Bombyx mori: one gene and its partner. The main gene of each other region encodes a partner of the protein of the gene in region 2 in a complex. Links are inferred from orthologs where the notes say so. Each region holds a gene or a part of one and is shown on either strand. Other genes may lie near its edges.

What was found.
Region 1: the proteins of Vlg (region 2) and protein gustavus are in contact, whole or in part, in a crystal structure (PDB 2IHS), measured with the Drosophila melanogaster proteins. The link is inferred for Bombyx mori from reciprocal best matches to the Drosophila melanogaster genes vas and gus. Residues at the interface, in NP_001260458.1 of Drosophila melanogaster: Asp184, Ile185, Asn186, Asn187, Asn188, Asn189, Asn190, Val192, Glu193, Asp194, Val195, Glu196; in NP_001246140.1 of Drosophila melanogaster: Ser64, Leu65, Asn66, Arg79, His80, Pro81, Val82, Ala83, Ser85, Asp87, Gly112, Thr113, His127, Tyr131, Val218, Trp219, Gly220, His221.

Annotation. Positions count from the first base shown.
Region 1 is NC_085109.1:9,085,640-9,096,065, forward strand, and holds the start of protein gustavus, read left to right. Parts: upstream 1-5,345; 5' UTR 5,346-5,942; coding exon 5,943-6,010; intron 6,011-10,426. UniProt on the Drosophila melanogaster protein: Involved in the localization of vas to the posterior pole of the oocyte. Required maternally in the germ line for efficient primordial germ cell formation.
Region 2 is NC_085125.1:8,258,368-8,268,971, forward strand, and holds the start of Vlg (vasa-like), read right to left. Parts: upstream 8,765-10,604; 5' UTR 8,681-8,764; intron 8,165-8,680; 5' UTR 8,162-8,164; coding exon 8,126-8,161; intron 7,465-8,125; coding exon 7,371-7,464; intron 5,218-7,370; coding exon 5,095-5,217; intron 4,974-5,094; coding exon 4,720-4,973; intron 4,316-4,719; coding exon 4,130-4,315; intron 3,767-4,129; coding exon 3,683-3,766; intron 3,605-3,682; coding exon 3,467-3,604; intron 2,984-3,466; coding exon 2,807-2,983; intron 1,556-2,806; coding exon 1,360-1,555; intron 1,260-1,359; coding exon 1,062-1,259; intron 38-1,061; coding exon 1-37. UniProt on the Drosophila melanogaster protein: Involved in translational control mechanisms operating in early stages of oogenesis.

The DNA of each region.
Region 1 (10,426 bases), on a different chromosome or scaffold from region 2:
GAAGCACGATATACAAGCACAAGCAACACCAAGTAACGGTTTCAATAAATTATGAATTTACCATGATTAACTTTTAATATGCGTCAATTTGGTCATATAGAAGCCATTCCTTGAATTTGATGAAGAGTGGAGTTGCAATCGTGCTATAGGAAAAGCTTACTAAGCGATCTTCCATCGAGCCGCCCTTATTTTGAGCTCGATAAACAAAACTGTCCATTATTGTTGTTCGGAAGTTGTATATAATATGCAAGATTATTTTTAACTTACCTAGTCAGGTCATAAATATTGTCACACAGTAAAAACTTTTCTTTTAGAATGCTGGCCACAAAAAAGTTTATTGAATTCGAATTTCGAATTGTTCATGAAAATAAAAATAGTATACATTTAGAATTTTACTCATTTTTAAATATGGAGTGGACGCTTAAAGAAGACCGTGTTGCAGTTATTGCGTTGCATCGTTGCGGTTACGCGCCAATTCAAATTTTTAACATACTGAAAAATTTGAATATAACCAAAAGATTCGTTTATCGTACCATCAAACGATACAATGAAGACTCTAGTGTAGATGACAGGTCAAAAAGTGGTCGCACTCGGTCTGTTAGGATTCCAGCAGTGATAAAAGCTGTGAAGGCGCGAATTCAAAGAAATTCCAAACGTAAGCAGAAACTGTTGGCCCTTCAGATGGGGTTAAGCAGAACCACGGTGAAAAGGGTGTTAAATGAAGACTTAGGGCTTCGGGCATATCGAAGAAAAACAGGAAATCGTTTGAATGCTCGTCTAGTGGACCTGAGACTGAAGAGATGCCGCGCTTTGTTGAAGCGGTACGCGGGAAAAAAATATCGGGAAATTCTTTTTTCGGATGAAAAATTTTTTACCGTAGAAGAGAGCTACAACAAAAAAAAATGATAAGGTGTACGCACACAGTAATGAAGAAGCGAGCAACCGTATTCCGCGTGTCCAACGAGGACATTTTCCATCCTCGCTCATGGTATGGTTGGGAGTTTCTTATTGGGGCTTAACAGAGGTACATTTTTGTGAGAAAGGTGTAAAAACGAGTGCAGTTGTGTATCAAAATAAAGTCCTGACGAACCTTGTGGTACCTGTTTCCCATACCATGTTCAATAACAGGCACTGGGTATTCCAACAAGATTCGGCGCCAGTTCATAGAGCGAAGATCACACAAGACTGGCTGGCGGCGCGTGAAATCGACTTCATCCGGCACGAAGACTGGCCCTCCTCCAGTCCAGATTTGAATTCGTTAGATTACAAGATATGGCAACACTTGGAGGAAAAGGCGTGCTCAAAGCCTCATCCCAATTTGGAGTCACTCAAGACATCCTTGATTAAGCTAGCCGCCGATATTGACATGGACCTCGTTCGTGCTGCAATAGACGACTGGCCGTGCAGATTGAAGGCCTGTATTCAAAATCACGGAGGTCATTTTGAATAAACTTTAGTGTTATAAGAATCTATGTTTTGTTAAGTTCATTTTGGTATATGAATGGTTACATAATGAATAAACTTGTTTAAATGATTTTACATTAAACATGTGACAGAATTTATGACCTGACTATGTATATTAAAATTGTCGTTAGCGCGATTCAGATCTAAGTCCGATATTTTATACTCTATGGTAGCTACATTCGCTACACCACTCCACCGAGATCAGAAGTTGTATGAGTAAGTATAGTATGTAGTATGATACTAGATATTAAATAAGGTGAGGTGAAGTGACATTAAGACTCCCCGCGCACTAGCAACCAGGCTGCGGCAGCCAAACGAATATATGGCGTTGTATGGGAGCCCGCGCACATAAGCAACCCGGAACTCTTGGCTGCGGCAGCCATTACAACGCGCCTGTTGCACGGCTGCCCATCGGCTGTGGGCAGCCAGAGCGAGTGTCACCAAATGTATGTGGCTGCTGTCAGTCCCCGCGCACTTGCTGTAGTAGCCAATGCATATTCGTTTTGCCAAATATTAGTTATATGACACAGCATGCTTGTACAATCCCTTGTATTTACAAAAACCGGTCTGGTCTGCTATGTATGTATGAACATCTTTAAAATAGTTATAGAATAAGCCTTCTGAGTGTTTTCTTTGCTTTGCGTTTTTTACGTCGATTGGTTTCTATACTGGCTGCTCAAATATTTCGGTTGCCGCAGCCAGGCTGCCTAGTGCGCGGGGAGCCTAAGACTTATGTGCCCATGTCTATTTAGCTATCGAGATAAAAAATAATCGAACAGCATTTTAAAAAACTTTTAAAACAATAACACTGATACAAAACTTTTCTATTTAATAAGAAGAGGTCAGGTGCGGATTATTCAATAAAATGAAGCATAAAGAGCCCCTTATGTTCTGGTGTTGTCGTGCCCATTGCCATATATTAGTCATCATTACCTCTGACCTTAATATTCGAACTGACGTACATTACGAAACTTTAAACGTTCTCTTTTTTGTCCTTTTGTTACAGAACCCTAAAAACTGAAATAATCTAGTGTTTAGTGAATTTTATTCAATAAAAAGGGAATCAAATGCAATGAAACTAAAGTGATCTTCACAATCATATAATAAAAAACAATAGATAAATATTTACTAACAATCATGCCACGTTAACTGGTCCCGTGCTAAGTTGTTAAAGAACTTGTGTTACAGGTACCAGATAACGAAAATAAACGTAAGATTTTTATTGTACACATACATATATTTAATATACATCCATAACCCTGGAAAAGACAATATATATTTATCATACAAATATCTTCCCTTGGCGGGATTCGAACCCGCGACCCCCTTGTGTAGTGACCATGTCACCACTACGCCAGACGGCCGACCAGTCTTGTATGTTAAGTACAATTTGACCGAATTTATAGGTTTCGTTTAGCTTAATGAAGTTTTAACGTGTTGCACGATCTGTTTAGCATTTTATCATGGGTATCCTTGACTCACTCCGGGCTGTTCCCAGAAACAGCTTGATTACCTCTGATTACATTATGCAATGACTAGCCGTGTGAATGCCATTCACTTGATGAAAAACCCTGAAATACTGTTTACACAGCGATCGGACAGCATATTTTCAACGTAGGTTAGACATACATAGGTGGGTGTTATTATTTAAACGAGGTTTTAGGTAAATATAAAATTTAATCATTTTATTTATACTTATTTTATACTTATTGTACACAAAAAGAAAATACAATAAAAACAGATTTAAAGAATGTCTAAATACTATGTACAAAGACGAACTTAACTCATTCATGTGTTTTCTTCCAGCAAACCATTAGCAGAGAGAAATACGATGTATAAGAGGGGAAAAGTGTACAATATAAAAGCTATTAAAGCATGACAATTAAATAAAGCTTTGAAAAAAAAATCTAATATAAAATGAAAAATACATATAAATAAACATACACGAAACAATAATTTAAATACAATTAAAGTGACAGGAAATGCAATTAATTAATTTTTTTTTAATTTTTTTAATTTTTTTTTTTTTTTAATTTAATAGACTTAAAAAAAATTTCATACTCATTTCTTTATTCTATCTATAAACGGCCGTCTGGTGTAGTGGTAAGTGACATGGTCACTACACAAGGGGGTCGCGGGTTCGAATCCCGTCAAGGGAAGATATTTGTATGTTAATATAAATGTCTTTTCCGGGGTTATGGATCTATATTAAATATGTTTATGTGTATAATAAAAATCTTATATTTATTTCCATTATCTGGTACTTGTAACACAAGTTCTTTACGAACTTATCACGGGACCAGTTAACGTGGCGTGACTGTTAGTAAATATTTATTTATTTATTTATTATTTATGTAATGCTTATAAATTTACAGTCGCCCGCCTAAGAACTGCTTACTTTTCTCTAATATGCGACTATTTTCGAGATACAAACACAAGCTTGAACATAATAATATTGTCCATTACGTAGTGTTTTATGACCAATATTGTAGTGTCCTGTGGGGCTTCATCGCTACATAAATACAAGCCTTATGTTCGTCGTTCAATATACTGTCTTTATATTTTGTATTGATTCCTTTCTGAAAATAATGGTACATCTTTTAATAATATAGAGCAAATAATTATAAATGTGAGTATGTTCCAACACTTTTAACTATTGTATTATATATTGGAATAAACACAGACAACGTAAATAATATAACAATGTAGTAAATCTATACTAATATTATAAAGCTGAAGAGTTTGTTTGTTTGAACGCGCTAATCTCGGGAACTACTTGTCCGATTTGAAAAATTATTTCAGTGTTAGATAGCCCATTCATTGAGGAAGGCCATAGGCTATATAACATCACGCTAAGACCAATACAAGCGGAGCACCAATAGAGAATGTTTCAATATCGGGTTTTTTCCCTTTTGAGAGTTTCCGCTGCGTGCGCTGCAGAAACAGTTGAAGTTTCGCTATAATAATGTATGACAGAATTGTTCCCCTTTAAAAGATCTAAAAAAAAGTTCGCGACAGCATATGTCTATATGTTAAGGTTGGCTCACTATAACGTTTTTTATGCTAACCAAATTTGTTCTTAAATAAAGCGTTATTTGTGAACTATTCAACGCGGACGAAGTCGCGGGCAAAAGCTAGTATAAATATATATATAAAGAATGAATGTGGACGTATTCGTTCGTGACTTGTGGGCTCCCGCTTCTTTTTATCCGGTCGAAGTCAAATTTGATACAATTCTTATTCAGGAAAGGTTTTTGTCACGCTAATACAGCTTTAATAGACTTGTTTGTTTCATATTTTTATCGATAGTCATAGTCACAACGTTGAGGATGTATTTACAAGTGTATAGCACTTTAAATACTTTTTAAAAGATCAAATTGTGATGCACTTGTGACACCGTTCATTCCCTTTTTTACTTGTGGGTATATTATAATCCCTTGGACGATTTTGGTTTTGCTGTAACTATCTGTAGTAGGTACTGTCCATCGATCTAATCTGCTTATTTTTACCGCGTAACACTAATGTGTATAAAAACAAAAGGGACACAACCTTAACTATATTTTAACTATATCAAAACTTAACATTTCACAGTATTTGTATTGAACTCAATAATAAATATTAATAGGATTTAATACGCTCTTTTACATTATTGTAATACTAAAATCAAAGGCCAGAGGCCAATTCGTTTCGTGATGAATTCTTTTCACGTCTCGAATCTTTGTGAAGTTCCCGAGCGCCGCGATAGGGCACGCTATCATAGGGCATCTCGAGCACATGGCACTCTGGGAGTTCGGGAGAAGCGGGGGCGGGAGCGAGCATCGTCGCGGTCCGTTCTAGTTTCAACAACGTCAAAGCCAAGCGGTGAAGCGGAGCCAGACGGCAGTCCAACACCAAACGACACACAGACCGAGCGCCTCGTCCTCGCAAAGCGACCGCGTCCGCTATCACGCGATCTAACATCTAAGCATTTTGTTTTTGATCTAAATAGAAAATATTTATCGAAATAAATAAATATTAGAAACGACGTTCGAATTGTACGAAAAAAGGAATTTATCGACCCAAGCTTTGCGCGCTATTACAACCCTTATTCACTTCAAGTCGCTCCCTCTAATTATTGACTCCCCTAAAGTTTTTTCGAAAAATTCATTCGGTATCGATTGTGCCCTTTCGTCGTGCTCAACTTTTATTATTATTTCGCTCTGTGAACAGCAAAATTTCCTGGTGCGTGAAGTAACGCGCTGACTTTTGGCTGATTTTTTTTCCGAATCCATCGGTGCCTTCCTTGTTCACTTATTTCCTAGTTTACTGAAATTAAAGTGTCAAGTAAAGTCTAAAAGAAGACATAAAAATTATGAGAGTGCTTTGACAACGACGCGATACGATTCCTCGCGTGTGGTGAATGTGTGACTGGTTATTTTGGACTGTGAGTGAAGGGACCTCGGCGAGGTGCATGCTCGCGTGAGCAGCGTCGACAGCGGATGTGCACGCCGCTGCCATCCTGGTGGTTCGTGCCGGCTGGAATGCCAGCTGCTCTTGACCTAACCAGGTAATTTGCATAAAATTATTTCACACATCTGCCTCGATCAATGTGTATGCGCTTGTTCTAATAATGAGTAACCACTTAAAAAGAGAATACAAGATCTAACCTTTATTTATAATGTGTTTAAATCAAGCCATAGAAACTTTTGCAAAAGAAGAAGACGTGACATATTTTTGTTAATCCTAATAATAAAAGTACTTAGATCTACGTCAACATAACTTGTATGTAGTACTAGTTGTATGCTGGCAGGGCATTCTTCAAGCTTACACGTGCAGGTACCACCAGCCTGTCTATTTCTGACTCGATCTGATTTCAATGGTGTGACAGCTGCTACACAAAAGAATTGAAACTTCAGACTCACGTTTCAAGATTAATGAGAGTATTCATGTTGCAACATCTATGGGTTCTAGTACGAGCAGACCGTGAGCTCATGTCCAACAGAAATTTAAAAAAACTTAATGATTCTATCTAACTCTTATTATTTACATTACTTATTATTTACTCGTAAACTTTCGGTATCTTAAATATTAGAAGCAAAGTCATCAGTTGTAAGCACGGGCTTAGTAGCAACGTCGTGTCTATTTCTGCCGTGTACCAATCAAGTACTACGGTTTGAAGAGTAGGATAGCCTATATTTACCACGGTGATCGCTTCACCTCATTATTTATGCCTTCCGTTACCGCTGGTATCAAATGGGTCGTTGGTCTGTCCAATTAAGCTAATAAAAAAAAACCTAGTCCGATTTATTGAATTTAATAGAAGTAAATCTAGGATCAATACCCGAATAGACTACTATAGTATATATATTATAGAATCGAATTATATTTAATTCTCTGCCATGTACCCTGTCATGAATAAAAAAATAAATATATAATATAACATACGAACAATTAGACCACGTTTTAAAATAAACCTACCTAAGTAATAAATAATGGATCCATGAAATTAGCGTTCAAAAATCTCAGTGTAGAGAGCTTATAATGTTTGTTATGTAATTTCACAGAACCAGTTGATGTTACGAATACAAACATCATGACTTACAATTATTCAACAGCTTGTTATTATGATTAAAATTAATGATGTCACCCATAACAATAACAAAATAAGATTCATAATAAAAACTCATTATTTACAAACAAAATTCTTTTACATAAATGTAGTTGTAAACATAACAGATTGAGACTTTAGAAATTAACAGAATTATAACGAAGACCCTAAACCACCAACAGCAGCCATGTGGGTAACATTTTAATGTTTATTTTCTACACAATACCACCCGCGTCGTTTGACGGTCGTGGTTTGAAAACGAATCAAAAAACCCGTCTACTTACTCGAGTTCAATGTGAACATTGGTACAAAATGCCCGTAATCTGATTGAAAGCGTAAAAATATACTTACATAAAATTTTTGGAACAGAATTCGTGCTACTGGCATGTATTTTGAAGCCGACACGGGCAGGTATTATTATCATCCCTATTTATACCACAAAACAAAAATACTTTCTGGTTTTAAGAGTGGAACAGCTTTACTATATGTTTCAGATTTTAACCTCATCTGTCAAGGTTGCATTCTTGTTGTGATATGATCCGATAACCACTTAACACTAGATTTTCTTTACTGAATAATTAGAAAAGGGCTAAATCCATATTTTCAACAACCTTAAGTATGCACAAACATCGCTAAAGAGAAAAAGAACTGGAATAGGAAAATTAAATTGGTTACTTAAAAAATCCATAGAAGCATATGAATTACAATAATTTATAGAGGTTCATTGTAAGCAGTGGTCGACACGCAACTTTGGCCGTCTCTGGAAACGAAAGCAAAGTATTAAAACAGTCCCCTTTTTACTTTGTAATCGCTCTGAAAAAGGAATATTCCGTAACTCTGACATATATTTGATATACGACGGCTAGTATGCTACAAATTTTAAACCGCAGTGACGTGGATGATTCTTCCTTATTACATCTTCAAGGATTTTACTCGAGGTTTGCAAGTGAACATATTTTTTGTTTCTTTACATATCAATTTAAATTTGCTTTTCCTTATTCGATTAGCACTAGACGTACGTTTTTGTCTGTCCCCCGGCTCGTAATATTTAGTACTATTTAGTACGGAGCACGAGTCAGAAAGCGTCATCTCCAACACTCGTCATTTCCGAGAATCTTCAACGACTCATTCGAGTTCGCTGTAACTAGTACGCGAAACATTATTATGACAGGGCCAAGTGTCCTAAACATTAACCAATCCAAATTCAAACTATTTACTTGTATTTATTTCGAACTTCGGTAGTTTCTATTTACATGGAAGAAATAAATTCTTTCACTCATCAACGCGAAGTCTGCTTTGTTCGAAACAATATTCCCGCAGTGGCAACACCGTTAAAAATAAAGTGGCAGAGCTGCATTAACGTGTAAGCAAGCCGAAGACAAAAGCGATCACAATATCCTACACAGTAATAGAGAAGCTTTGCAAACACGCTTTAATGGTGCAAATGCTGCCAAATTTACGGTTCATTGCACTTTATATTGTTGCTGACTGGCAGTACGAACTAGACACGTTTATCGAATCGATAATTCGTAAATTTGATATCGTTTGTGTACACGAATATGCGTCTAGACCTCAATAAAATTATGATAGATGCGATCTTTTAATTTTAATAGTAGTTTATTTACACATATGCTATGTCAGTAAATGATGTTTTACTAGAAATTCAATTATACAATTATATAACATTATATCGATAAAAATTGTTAATTATTATGGCGCAATAATTATTTAGTTCCCTCCTATGACTGTTCAATTAAATAAAGCAAACCATGAACCTTTGAAATATTCCCAAAAAAATACCATGATTATAATGGATATGGTACTTAATTCGTAAAACTCGTAGGCAGCACTGTTCTTCCGCGTTCGTCAGCCCAGCACACGCCTGCAAGGTCATGTGAACCTCTTTGTCTAAATCGCGATGTGGGTACATAAAAAACGATTTGAGTGCGGTTATTCACATGATTCCATCCTATATAATCAATCGCGGACTGTGTAGCCCGTCACTACTAAAAAAGCCACACCATTATTATCTACAGATTGATATTAAAAATTAAAGTATGTAGTTTAAAACGATAAATCGAACCGGAGCGATTTTTTTTTGCGTGCATTCTTGATTTAATTTTAGTGGACTTGTGGCATATATATTTTCAGTTATAAGAATTTACGTGAAAAGTTAACGCAATATGTTGATAAACTTCTTTTTGACCTTCCGTATATTTTCAACTTTCGCCACTTACGTCTCATATTGTCATTTAAAACCTGGCGTGCTACTTCAAATATGTAGCCTTACAAGTATATCAAGTGATCTTTTGAATGCGACTCTACCTACTTCGTGCAAAATAAAAAGAAAGTCTTTTAATCAAATTTGATGAAGCAATATCAAATTTCATTAAAATTCTTGCTGTCATAATGGCCCAACTTTTACAGGCTACGTTTCGTTAACAGTTTTGATGCACGAACGTTTTTTAATTAACCAAATTGGATTCATTCGAAATAAAAAGAAAATGGTACGACGCATACCTACAACTAAATTGGACGAAAATATACAATACAATTTTACGTTTATAGTATAGTGCTGTGGTAAAGGGTCCTTACCACAATTTTATGAATCATTCTATTTTTTTTTTTTTATATTTATTCACCGAATCTTTATTTCCTTCGTTGACTCTTCAAATATCACTTCTTCTAATCAAACTTCTTTGGCTCATTCAAATATCACTGGAAATGTATGTATATATAAGGTCCACATACGAAATCCGAGGCTACCATACAAAATAATCAATATTCCTAAATCATTTAGATTTTTTAATCAAATTACCAATTAATAGCGATTCAACAATAGTATGACTTATCTACCCACTTACTACGCCTAAACCGCCGCTATAGTGTGATAGTTCGAAGTCTTTGTTTTTTTATTGACTTTGTAGGCAGACGAGCATACGGCCCATCTGATGGTAAGTGGTCACCGTCGCTCATGGACGTCAGCGATGCCAGGGGCAGAGCCAAGCTGCTGCTAACCATTAAGTACTCTCCGTAAGCCTCGTTTGAAGAAGGACTGTCATAGCGCTCGGAAAACACCGTGGAGGGGAGTTCATTCCAAAGCCGGATGGTGCGTGACAAAAAAGATATTTGGAAACGCACTGTCGATGAACGAGTCGAGTCTCCATTTGTATTATTTAACGGCTATGCCACCATTCAAATCGGAATGCAAAATGCTTCGCAGGAGCAATAGGCAGGGTGGTAGGTGCGAGCTTACAATACCTACATAAATACGCATATCATCAGTAATACGCCAATATATAAATTTGAATTCTCATTGCCCAACACAACACTGAAAACACTTAAATAACTAATAAATTCTATCCAATTCTGTTA
Region 2 (10,604 bases):
AGGTCATAATTCACTACAATGTCTACATTTTTAATGTCTGAAAATAAAAAAAAAATATAAAGTAACTCCGTCAACTTCTTGTGAGAAAAAAATTGGATAAATTTGAAAATAAAGTAGATATTCAAAAATTTTGCTTTCTCTACCACCTCCTTTAAGCTTAGAATATGGATGGAACAACTGCAAGTTGTACTGAAATCGATGTTTCACTGAACCTGGATAACTTTATATGTATATGTATGTGTTGGGTGGCAGAACCAAGTATACAATTTTTGTATTAAAAAAAACTATTGTAAAGCAGTGTTGCGCAAACTTTTTTCCACTACGACGCCTTCAGTAGAGAAAAGCTTAGAAGACCCCTAAATACGGAGGGAGTGGTATATACGAGCTACTAAAACCGACCGAAAAATTAAAAAATAGTGACGTCCAACAACCTTCTCACGGCCACCAAAGGGGTTGCGACTCTTAGTTTGAGAGCCACTGGGCTAAAGGGTCACACAGTCCATTCATATCGAGCAATGCGACTATGTCGGTATTCACCTTGTTACAATGTCTATGGGCCCATAACCACTTAACACCAGGTGGGCCGTGAGCGCGTCCACCCCCCTTGAAGTAATAAAATATTAATTTCAATGAACAGTTTTTTAAATGTTCATTGAAATTAATATTTTCAGATATTAATGCTCAATTAGTTTGTAAATTAAGATTTTTCTTAATTTACAAACTAATAACTGAGCATTCTTTTAAAAATAACCGGTGTTTACAGTGCTTGACAGTCGATAGTGCGGTATAAATTAGTTATATGATATTTAGTTTTCATTTTCATTGTTTTAATTAAAGTTGTTCAAAGTTTAACTAGTGACAAAAATTGCATGTCGGTACATCAAAAGTTGTTTTATTGCTTAGGCGGAATAAACGTCTATTATTACCATTATTATATAAAAAAAATGATAGTACATTAATCTTTATGATTTTCGGATTTCTTGGCAGATTGGAACTGAACTAGGCATTGTAAACATTATAATAACAAAAAAAAAACAATATAAAAATTAAATGATGTTTACCTAAACCACGTGCAGCTACAGCTGTTGCAACCAAGATACAGTGTTTCCCACTCTTAAAATTCTGTAACGCTTCCTCGCGCTCACGTTGCATGCGATCGCCGTGAATTGAAGATGTCAGCAATTGCTGTTCCGACAACATGGCTGCTATGAAGTCTGCATTACGTTTTGTTTCGACAAATACCAAGATTCTTTTACCATCTGTAATGATTGTTTTATAAGATGACATGAAAATAAGAAAGAACAACAACAATTCACTTTTTCTGGAATTATGGACTATATTATTAAAATATTTTCTCACCATTTTCCTCAATCAGTTGTTTTAGACTGTTCCGTTTTTCATATTTAGTGACTTCAATGAAGATTTGTTCGACGTCAGTGCTAGCGCCTCCGACGATACCAACCGCCACAAATAGATAATTATTTAAGAAACGACCAGCCAAATGTTGGATGTCTTCGGGGAATGTTGCCGAAAACATTAAAGTTTGCCTTTTCGTCTGCAGTGGATATAAAGCACAATTTTAATTTTCTTAGAAATATATAATTTCTTCTTGTATTATTACAAAACTATTTACATGTTTATGTGGTTTTATAAAAACTGGGTAAAGGAGTGTGTAGAAGTTCAGTTTAATTAGTAATTTTAAATCCCCAATGTACACAAATATATCTTTGGTCGAGTATTATCATTGAATGCAAAGCATGTATGTGACTCCAATATATTACAAGCGAACAGGATCCGCTGATAATAGTCGCCAATTAATAGTATTATTATATATTATAGTAGTTCTATTATTTTATTTTAGGTTAAAGTATGAGATATTGACATAACAATATCTCATTATAATAATGTATGATGAATATGAAAATATATCCTATTTTTAGAGAAATTGTATATATTAATCAAAGAAAATATCCTCTCAAGGTCTATGCAAACTTTGCAATATCGAGAGACATTTTGTACATATTCTAAGAGTAATTTTCTCTTTCACATATTTTTACGTAGTTCATTAAAAGGTGAAAGCTAAATTTGATGAGTGAAATATAATTTCTAATCAAAGGTCCGAATTGGAAAAAAAAATTAAATTATAAAATTAAAATTAAATATTGAGTTTAAAAGTTAGTTGATTAGTTGCGTATTTTCTATAATGATGGAGATAATCATTAATCAAAGTTCTTAATAGACATCTGATATTATATTGATGTGGTGATTACCACAAGCTTCGCATTGTGTATTTTTCCCTTGATCACTTACAGTCTGATACAAAGTAGGTAGTGTGTTAACTGACAAGTAACCAGTGAGTAGGAATAAAAATTAACTGTAATTTTATACCTACTCAGCAAATCAAAACCACCTTGTGCCTCTATACATTCATAATATTTCATTTAAGTGGAAGTCGCTTCTCCCTCTTTTAAAGCAATCAATTTGGTACCAATGAATTAGTGATGTTATAAGCTAATATAAAGTAATGAGTAATTCCTTGGACATTGGCTTTCATTTTATTTCATCATTATTTACCTGTCTGATCTCCCTCATGGTTCATTCATTAAGTGAAAGAATATGAAATTATTAAAACAAAAAGGTACCATTGACCATCAGTTATAAATTGACCATTTCATATTTTAAACACCATTTTCTTTATTCCCACAATTTTTAAAACTAAATAGTTGCACATTAAGAATTATTTTATTATATTTTATTTAAGTTACTAATTGGCATAATAAATAAGATTAATTACTAATTAACTTACGGTCTCCACCATGGTTGGATGTAACATCATTTTTTCAATGCTTGGCATGAACCCCATATCTAACATACGGTCAGCCTCATCCAGTACGACAAATCTTACACTGCCAAATGATACACGATTCCTTTCCACAAAATCATGAAGACGGCCTGGTGTTGCTACCAATATGTGACAGCCTCTCTGTGTATTAAGTTTTATTTTTTACTATATTTCGGATTTAAAATGATGATAATAATATTGTATGTTGAATAATGCTGTAGATATAGGAAGTTGATAGCTCAACCAGGATGCAGAAAGGGTTGTAGTAATAATGTTGTAGTTGACTAACTAATTTATATATTTTTAAGGATCACTAATTTCTTACTAGAAAAGTTACATCCACACGAAATAATATATTCTTTAGTACACGTTACGGCGGGTAAAATACGAATGCAACATCAACATAATATGCTAACCGCCGGTATTTATACAATCATCTTGACCTATTTTAATACAAACTTAGTAAGTAATATTAAACATTGTTTATCTTAATTATTCTGCTGATTATTTAGTAACATAAGTCTTTCATTCATAACTCAACCTAGACCCTAAAAACGTTATTCTATTGCATGTTTAACTGTTTTACTGAAATTATATTGAATAGTTGAATATTGAAATACTCACAGCAATGTTATCACCTTGATGGCGCACAGCAGTGCCACCATAAGCAACTGCAACCTTCAAAACTGAGCCATATGAGAATTTCCTAGCTTCATTAAATATTTGAAGAGTCAATTCTCGCGTTGGAGATACTATTATAACCTAAAATTAATTTAACATTACAACAAAAAATGCTTTACAATATTCTTACTTTTCAAAATAAAATAAAAATTTACCCACCTGTGGCTGGGCGCAGCCATTTTCTGAGATCAGATCCTTTGGATCTTGTAATAACATATTAATTATGGGTACCAAAAAAGCAGCCTGAAAGAAAAAATCGACTGAATTATTGTAAAAGAAGGTTTGTATCAATAATTTTGAATAGTTATTTTCGCTTTTGTAATTTACTTATTTTTAAGGTTTTCGCGAGTCGTGAGCGTAATTAAAACTAGTTTTACAGTTTAATCTCGGGTTTATTTATTTATTTTGATTACCATATTATTTTCGTTTCCTGCAGTTTTCGCGGTCATGCACGATTGACTGACGATGGCCCAGTTAAAGTATGTGAAAGGTGAAAAATATGGGAAAAAAAATTTTTTTTAAAGGAAAAGAAATACTTAAAAAGACGCAAGACTAAAGACTAAAAGTGGATTGAATTACTGTGTATATTAAACAGTTCAAATTTACCGTTTTACCCGAACCAGTCTGGGCACAACCCATCAAATCTCTGCCACTCATTATGATTGGGATTGCATTTTTCTGAATAGGTGTGGGTTTTCTATAACCAGCCTTAAGTACATTATCTAAAACATACTTTCTGAGATTTGCAGTTTCGAAACTTTCGATAGGTCTCGGAGGATTCTCACCACTGACCTGCAAATTAAATTAGTATTCAATATTAGACAGAGAATAACAATGTTTTTAACTGAGAGATTGACAAGAGAGCCATGGTTTTCACCAGCTTTATAGTGTTGGCTCTTTCTAAAATAGATAATTGCATGCATTGGATGGATGCATTCACATTCTATGAAGTAAACATAACATTAGAGATTTGATTTGCATCATAAATATAGGGAAATACTCATATTTGTAGACTTAGCATTTTATGATCTATAAAACGAATTTATTTTCTTTAGTACGAGGTTAAAATATTTCATCAAAACTTTTGTACTATGAAAAAAAAAAGCTCTTTTTATTATTAAGTATTAAAAAGTAATTTACTTGCTATAGTTACTTTAAAACTGTTTGAGAGTACAACAAATTACTTAGGTACTTACTTTTACTGCAATATGGTCAAACTTGTCAAAGTTAATACCAGAGCTTATAGTACTGCTAAAGATTTCCGTCTCATCATTTGTTGGTTCTGGAGGCACATAGGTTACCGGCTTCTTCGTTTCCCCGTTTTCCCCTATTTCATTATCTTCATAATCATTTCTATCGCCTCCTCCGCCACCACCACCTCTACCACCACCACGTCCTCCCCTTCCGCGGCCTCGGCCACGTTCGCCACGACCCCTATCATCATGGTCACCTATAATTATATACAATATTCATACCATTTATGAGACAATATAAATAATAATTGCAAACAATAAATAATTCAATATCCATGGATAATATGGAGTTTAATTTTTGATATTTGTGTCTATTACCATTAGTCTCATAGTCGCTGTGCTGTTCTCGTGACCCTCCACGTCCACCTCTTCCGCCGCGTCCTCGTCCTCCGCCTCGGCCACCTCGACCCCGTCGCTCACCATACCCATTCTCTTTTTCATCTAAAATTCAAATGTTTCTTCTAGAAATATTAAATTTTACTGATGATTTAAACTATATATTTTTTGTAGCTTTAATCAGTGCAGTATTAAGACTTTATATTATTGAGAAAATAATGTCTATAATAACAATGCTGCAGAAAACAGGTTCAAGAAGTCAATGACAGAAAATGCATGCATGACCACACAGAAACATAGGTCAGACTTTTTGTTATATATTTCAGTTATTCACATATTTAGTTTGATAAAATGAAATTGTTTTGAATTTTTTACATTCATGCAAGTGAGAAAAGATTCAAATTAATCAAGTAACCCAAAGGAATACTTTCCAATAACAATATCTATCACATTATTACAATGCTATTAGAGTTGAAAAACTGCTTTCAGCATATGTCAACATACATTTTATTTTTGGGTTCAGCTGTGGATACTTAAAATTCCATGCTTAAGTGCTTAACCAGAGTTAATTAAAGCATCATAAGTGCCTAAAGAAAACTTAAGTGGCAACTCAATTCAAAAATTTATTGACACCAAACCAGCCTTACAATATGTTTTTGTTAATACTTCTTTCAATATTAATATCATAATCTGCTTTTTACAGTTCTGATTTAGTTATATATATTTATTATAATGTTTTTGATTAAATTTTCTTAGCAAAAAATAGCTATAGTGGAGTTTTTATCATACCCAGTAAAAGCTTTCAGTTTTATTGACAAGACAATGTGAATGTGAAACATGTAAAAATAAAAGGGGTCAAAGTATGAAATTGCCATTCTATTGTAATTGGTACTTCGAATTGACATAGAAGCTTCACGGTTTGAGATTTTTGGGTGAAACTTTTTTCAAATGGTACCATTCTATGAGGTTCTTTGTTTAAAAAATGTGCAAAATTCGATTCGACTTTCAGTTGCTTTTTTTTATTCAGCTTAGACGAAAAAGATGCGATACTTCGAAAATTCGAGTGATATTTTAATAAGGGTTCCGACGCGGAACTAACGCTGCAGAAACAGCTCGCAATATCAATGTTGCGTTTGGAGCGGAGACTGCTAATGACCGCACCGTGCGATTTTGTTTTAAACGCTTTCGTGATGGAAATTTTGATTTGAAGAACGAACGAATTGAAAGAGATGTTGGAAGCCGATCCGACCCATACTACCCAGGGATTTGCGGCATGGTTTAACGTTACCTTACCAATGATGTTGACTCATATGCGTTAAATCAATAAAATAAAAAAAATATGAAAAACGGGGGTCCCTTATGATTTGACTGGTCTGCAGAAAGAAACGCGTTGAAACTTGTGTTGCCTTGTTGAATCGATACAGATATGACGGAATATTGGATCGAATTGTGACATGTGATGAAAAGTGAATTCCTTACGTTAACCGTAAGAGAAAGAGGCAATGGCTGACCCCAGGTCAAACGCTGCAACAGTGTCCTAAAGCAAAGTTTACCAATAAAAGGTAATGGTAACTGTTGGTGGTCTCAGCACGTTGTTATTCACTATAGCTTTCTCCGATCTGGTCAAGCAATAACGGCAGATGTCTACTGTGCCGAAATCCGAACAACGAAAGCAAAATTTGCAGTGAAACAGCCTCGACTCATGAATCGATCTTCACCATCATTGCTCCATGATAACGCGAGACCTCATACAGCACGAGAAACCGTTTTAACTCTACAGGAACTGCAATAAGAAACCATTCGTCACCCTCCATATTCGCCAAACCTTGCTCGAACGGACTAGCATTTTTTTCGTGATTTGGACAATTTTCTATGTTATAAAAAGTTTGCTTCCCAGGACAAAATGCTTTGACAGTTTGTAGAATATAGACCACCAGAGTTCTATCACAAAGGCATAAATTACCTTCCTATTAGATGGCAGCAATGTATAGATAATAATGGTAGATATTTTGATTAAAAAATATGTTAAATGAAAAAAAAGAACGAATTTCAATTTTTCAGTACAAATCGGCAATTTCATACTTTAACCCTTAATATAAAATAGCTAAGCAAAGGTAAGATACACAAAATCTTATATCAAGAACAAGCACTTAATTTCATTCCCTTAGTTTATGTTTCTATGCAGTATTCAAATGTAATTTAAGTTAATATGTTACTATCAGTTTTAAAAGCAGAAATGAAAAATACTGAATTCTTACCATCCTCATTGAAGGAAGGAAATCCTCTTCCTCTGGATAGACTGTGACCTTCATCTACAGAATCATGGTTCTGTAGTGGGGGAGGTGGCACCACCTAGAATGCAGACAACAGATAATAAGATTAATTAAAGTAATTTTAATTATGTCTGCAGCTTGTGAAAACCAGGAAAATCATTAAACACCAAAAAGTTACTGAATTTTATGACATTAAAATTTCATTTCATATTCCAGAAATTGTATCCTGCAGGCTTGGTCCAGTTATTTTTATGAAAATATGTGCTTTACACAAGTTTGAGATCATCATGTGGTAAAAATCATTAATGAGAAGTGTTGATTTGCTTAATTATCAGTTATAGGTCAAATAATTAGCCTGCAAATAGGTGAAGGGTTCATATTGTGGGACAATCGGTTTACAATACCATTTGATTGAGACTTTTACCACTGGTCCCAAAGGAGGATGGTAACACATTGTGATATCCATAAGCTCCAACGCTGTGGTTCTTAAGTTATTCCATGGAACAAAAAATAGACTAAAATGTTAAATATTAAAAGAGCACATAATTTTGACCTTTTTAAATGTTCTCTTGAAGCTTTGCACACATATTACCATGAAGGAAATTGAACCAAACTATTCAAATATTATGTGACTTTAATATAATAATATGGAGAAAATTCACATTTTGTTAAAGATATATTATTATTTTAGGTATTATTATCAAAAAAATCATTTTTATTTTTTATAGTTGATGACTTACAACAGCTTCACAGGAATCATCCCAGTCATCATCCATTACCTGCAAAGTAATTTTTTTATTAAAATTTTTCATTGTGACCTTCATTTTCCATTAACTTTTATCAAGTAGTTTTGGAAGGTAGATTGAAATTTTTATAAACAGCATGGCTATTTGGTTCAACCGTTTTTTTAATGATAAAGTTATATTAAATACTGAAGATATTTGTTCCTATCATATTGCAATTTTAATCTTAAAAGCTATGTCCGAAGTTGATTCTCTATTATACATTTCGAACTAAAAACTATTTTAACAATGCTTTACCAGTAGCAATAACTGGATGAATACATTTTATTTTAACATCTATACTTAACAGTAAAGATAAAGATAAAGTAAAACTATTTTTTTTATTTTTTCTATGTTGACGCTAAACAATAGTTTCTACCGGCTTTTGGATAATAATTTGGCACGTGTTACAATAACGCACGTTTTTAAATAATTATTTAGTCATAATAATAATTATAGCTCTAAATTATAAGTTTTTATTCTATTCAAGATCAACAAGTTGTATGTACTTACAATGGTATTTTTTATTTTCACTGGACTTCGACAACGTTAAGTCGCCAAACAATAATGGCGGACGAACGATTGCTACCAATTTGGCACTGAGTTGAAGAATTCCAAACCAATCTCTTTTTTTTGTTTGATTCACTAGGAAAGGCAAAGAACGCTAAGCTTATACGCCATTTTTTTATTTGAATAGCTGAAAGTTCTTTCTTTGCTCAACTTGTAGGCAATATAAAAATAAAATTGCTGTTCCATTTATAATAAATTAATGATGATAATTAAGTGAATTTAAAAGGATTACAATAAAATGAGAAAATTGAAACTGACATCTATTATGCTTTTAGCTTTTTTGTTTTTCTTTTGGGTGGAAGGATTACGGCGCGGCATGTTCTTACCGCCTAGCTAGGACACTTGGGCGGGTAAAAACTCTCGCAAAGAGAAGAAAGATTGCTAAAACCTATTCGAACAAAACAGAGATTGAATTCCCTGGTGGAAGTCTATGTGCGTGTCGGCCGTGTCACCGAATCATACTCATAAGTCAGTATAGGCCGCGTTTAAGTTTTGTAAAATGACACCTTATTGCGAAAGCACTTTTTCCCCACTTGCAGATCACGTCATCCAGGACGACTCTCAAATACTTTACCGCCTGGATCAAGAATATAATATATATTATAATAATATTACACTTAATTTTACTTCACTAGATTTAATTTTCATTCATAGCCTACACAACGGCGGATCCCGGGGGGGGTCATGGGGTCATGACCCCCCCCTGAGCTGGTTCCAGGACTTAGGTGAACCACTAATTGACCATAATGATTTTATTTATATATTTTGTCACTATACAGATTTTATGTAACTACATACCTTCAATATTTAATTAATTTAATATAATTTAATAACTTTGTATGATGGCAAGCGTTTGGGAACGAGCGCATCGAAAATTTGATTATGTGACCCCCTCTTGGCGCCAAAGCTGGATCCGCCCTTGAGCCTACAGATAGGTAGTATAGGTACATACCATTTTTTTTTTCCTAAGCTGATGTTCTTGAGAGACCATTTCAGAGTAACCTTAACTATTAGCTCACGGGGCTCAAACCTGACGACGTTGCTAGCACTAACCCTAGCAAGAGCAGTGCTTTGCAGAATCTACCATCGGATTGGAAACGCGACCCACTGAGAAAATTCAGCGAGAAACTCAGTGGTCTGTGGGTTAGTTTACTCGCTGAGCCTTTCGTCGCAAGCAACGGGTTCGACGAGAACGATGACTGGTGCTTGGGGTACCTAACAGCACCGTTAGTGGATCGAGTGGATCCGAAATGACGTGTTTTGGGTGACGTCTACTGTTTACCTTTTGGCCCGCAGGATCGGGAATTTATTTACCGGTGGCTACGATGAGAGGTCTCGTGTCATGCCGCTTTCTCGAAATGGCACACTGATGCCGAATGTAGATACTTACTGATGGTCTACGTTTCGGATGTACCATGGGGCTCCGGCAGCTATCCTATAAGAACGGGATTATATTATTTGAAGGGGTTTCAAGTTTGTGCGGGTCGCGTGAGCGAACACTACACTTGCATAGGTCATGAGGGGGCGAACCTATATCATACCGACTACAATGCAATGGAAACATTACATTTTAAAAAAAATTGTTATTCTTATTATCCGTATAATGGTTAGGCTTAAAAGCCTAGAGTCTCAGCCATTAAACGAAAAAAAGTTAAGTGTCAAAAATAATGAAAAAGTAAACGCTGCGCCTGTCTGTAATTGAGTATTGCGTAGGTAGGTAGGTACCTACATACTCTGTTACAATGTTAAAAATAAACACAAAATTTGCTTGTGTATCAATGAGCTAAAGAGTATAATATTCTTAAAAGTGTGGAAATAAAATGAAAGAATCACACAAATTTCATTTACTGATACCATTGTGCTTAAC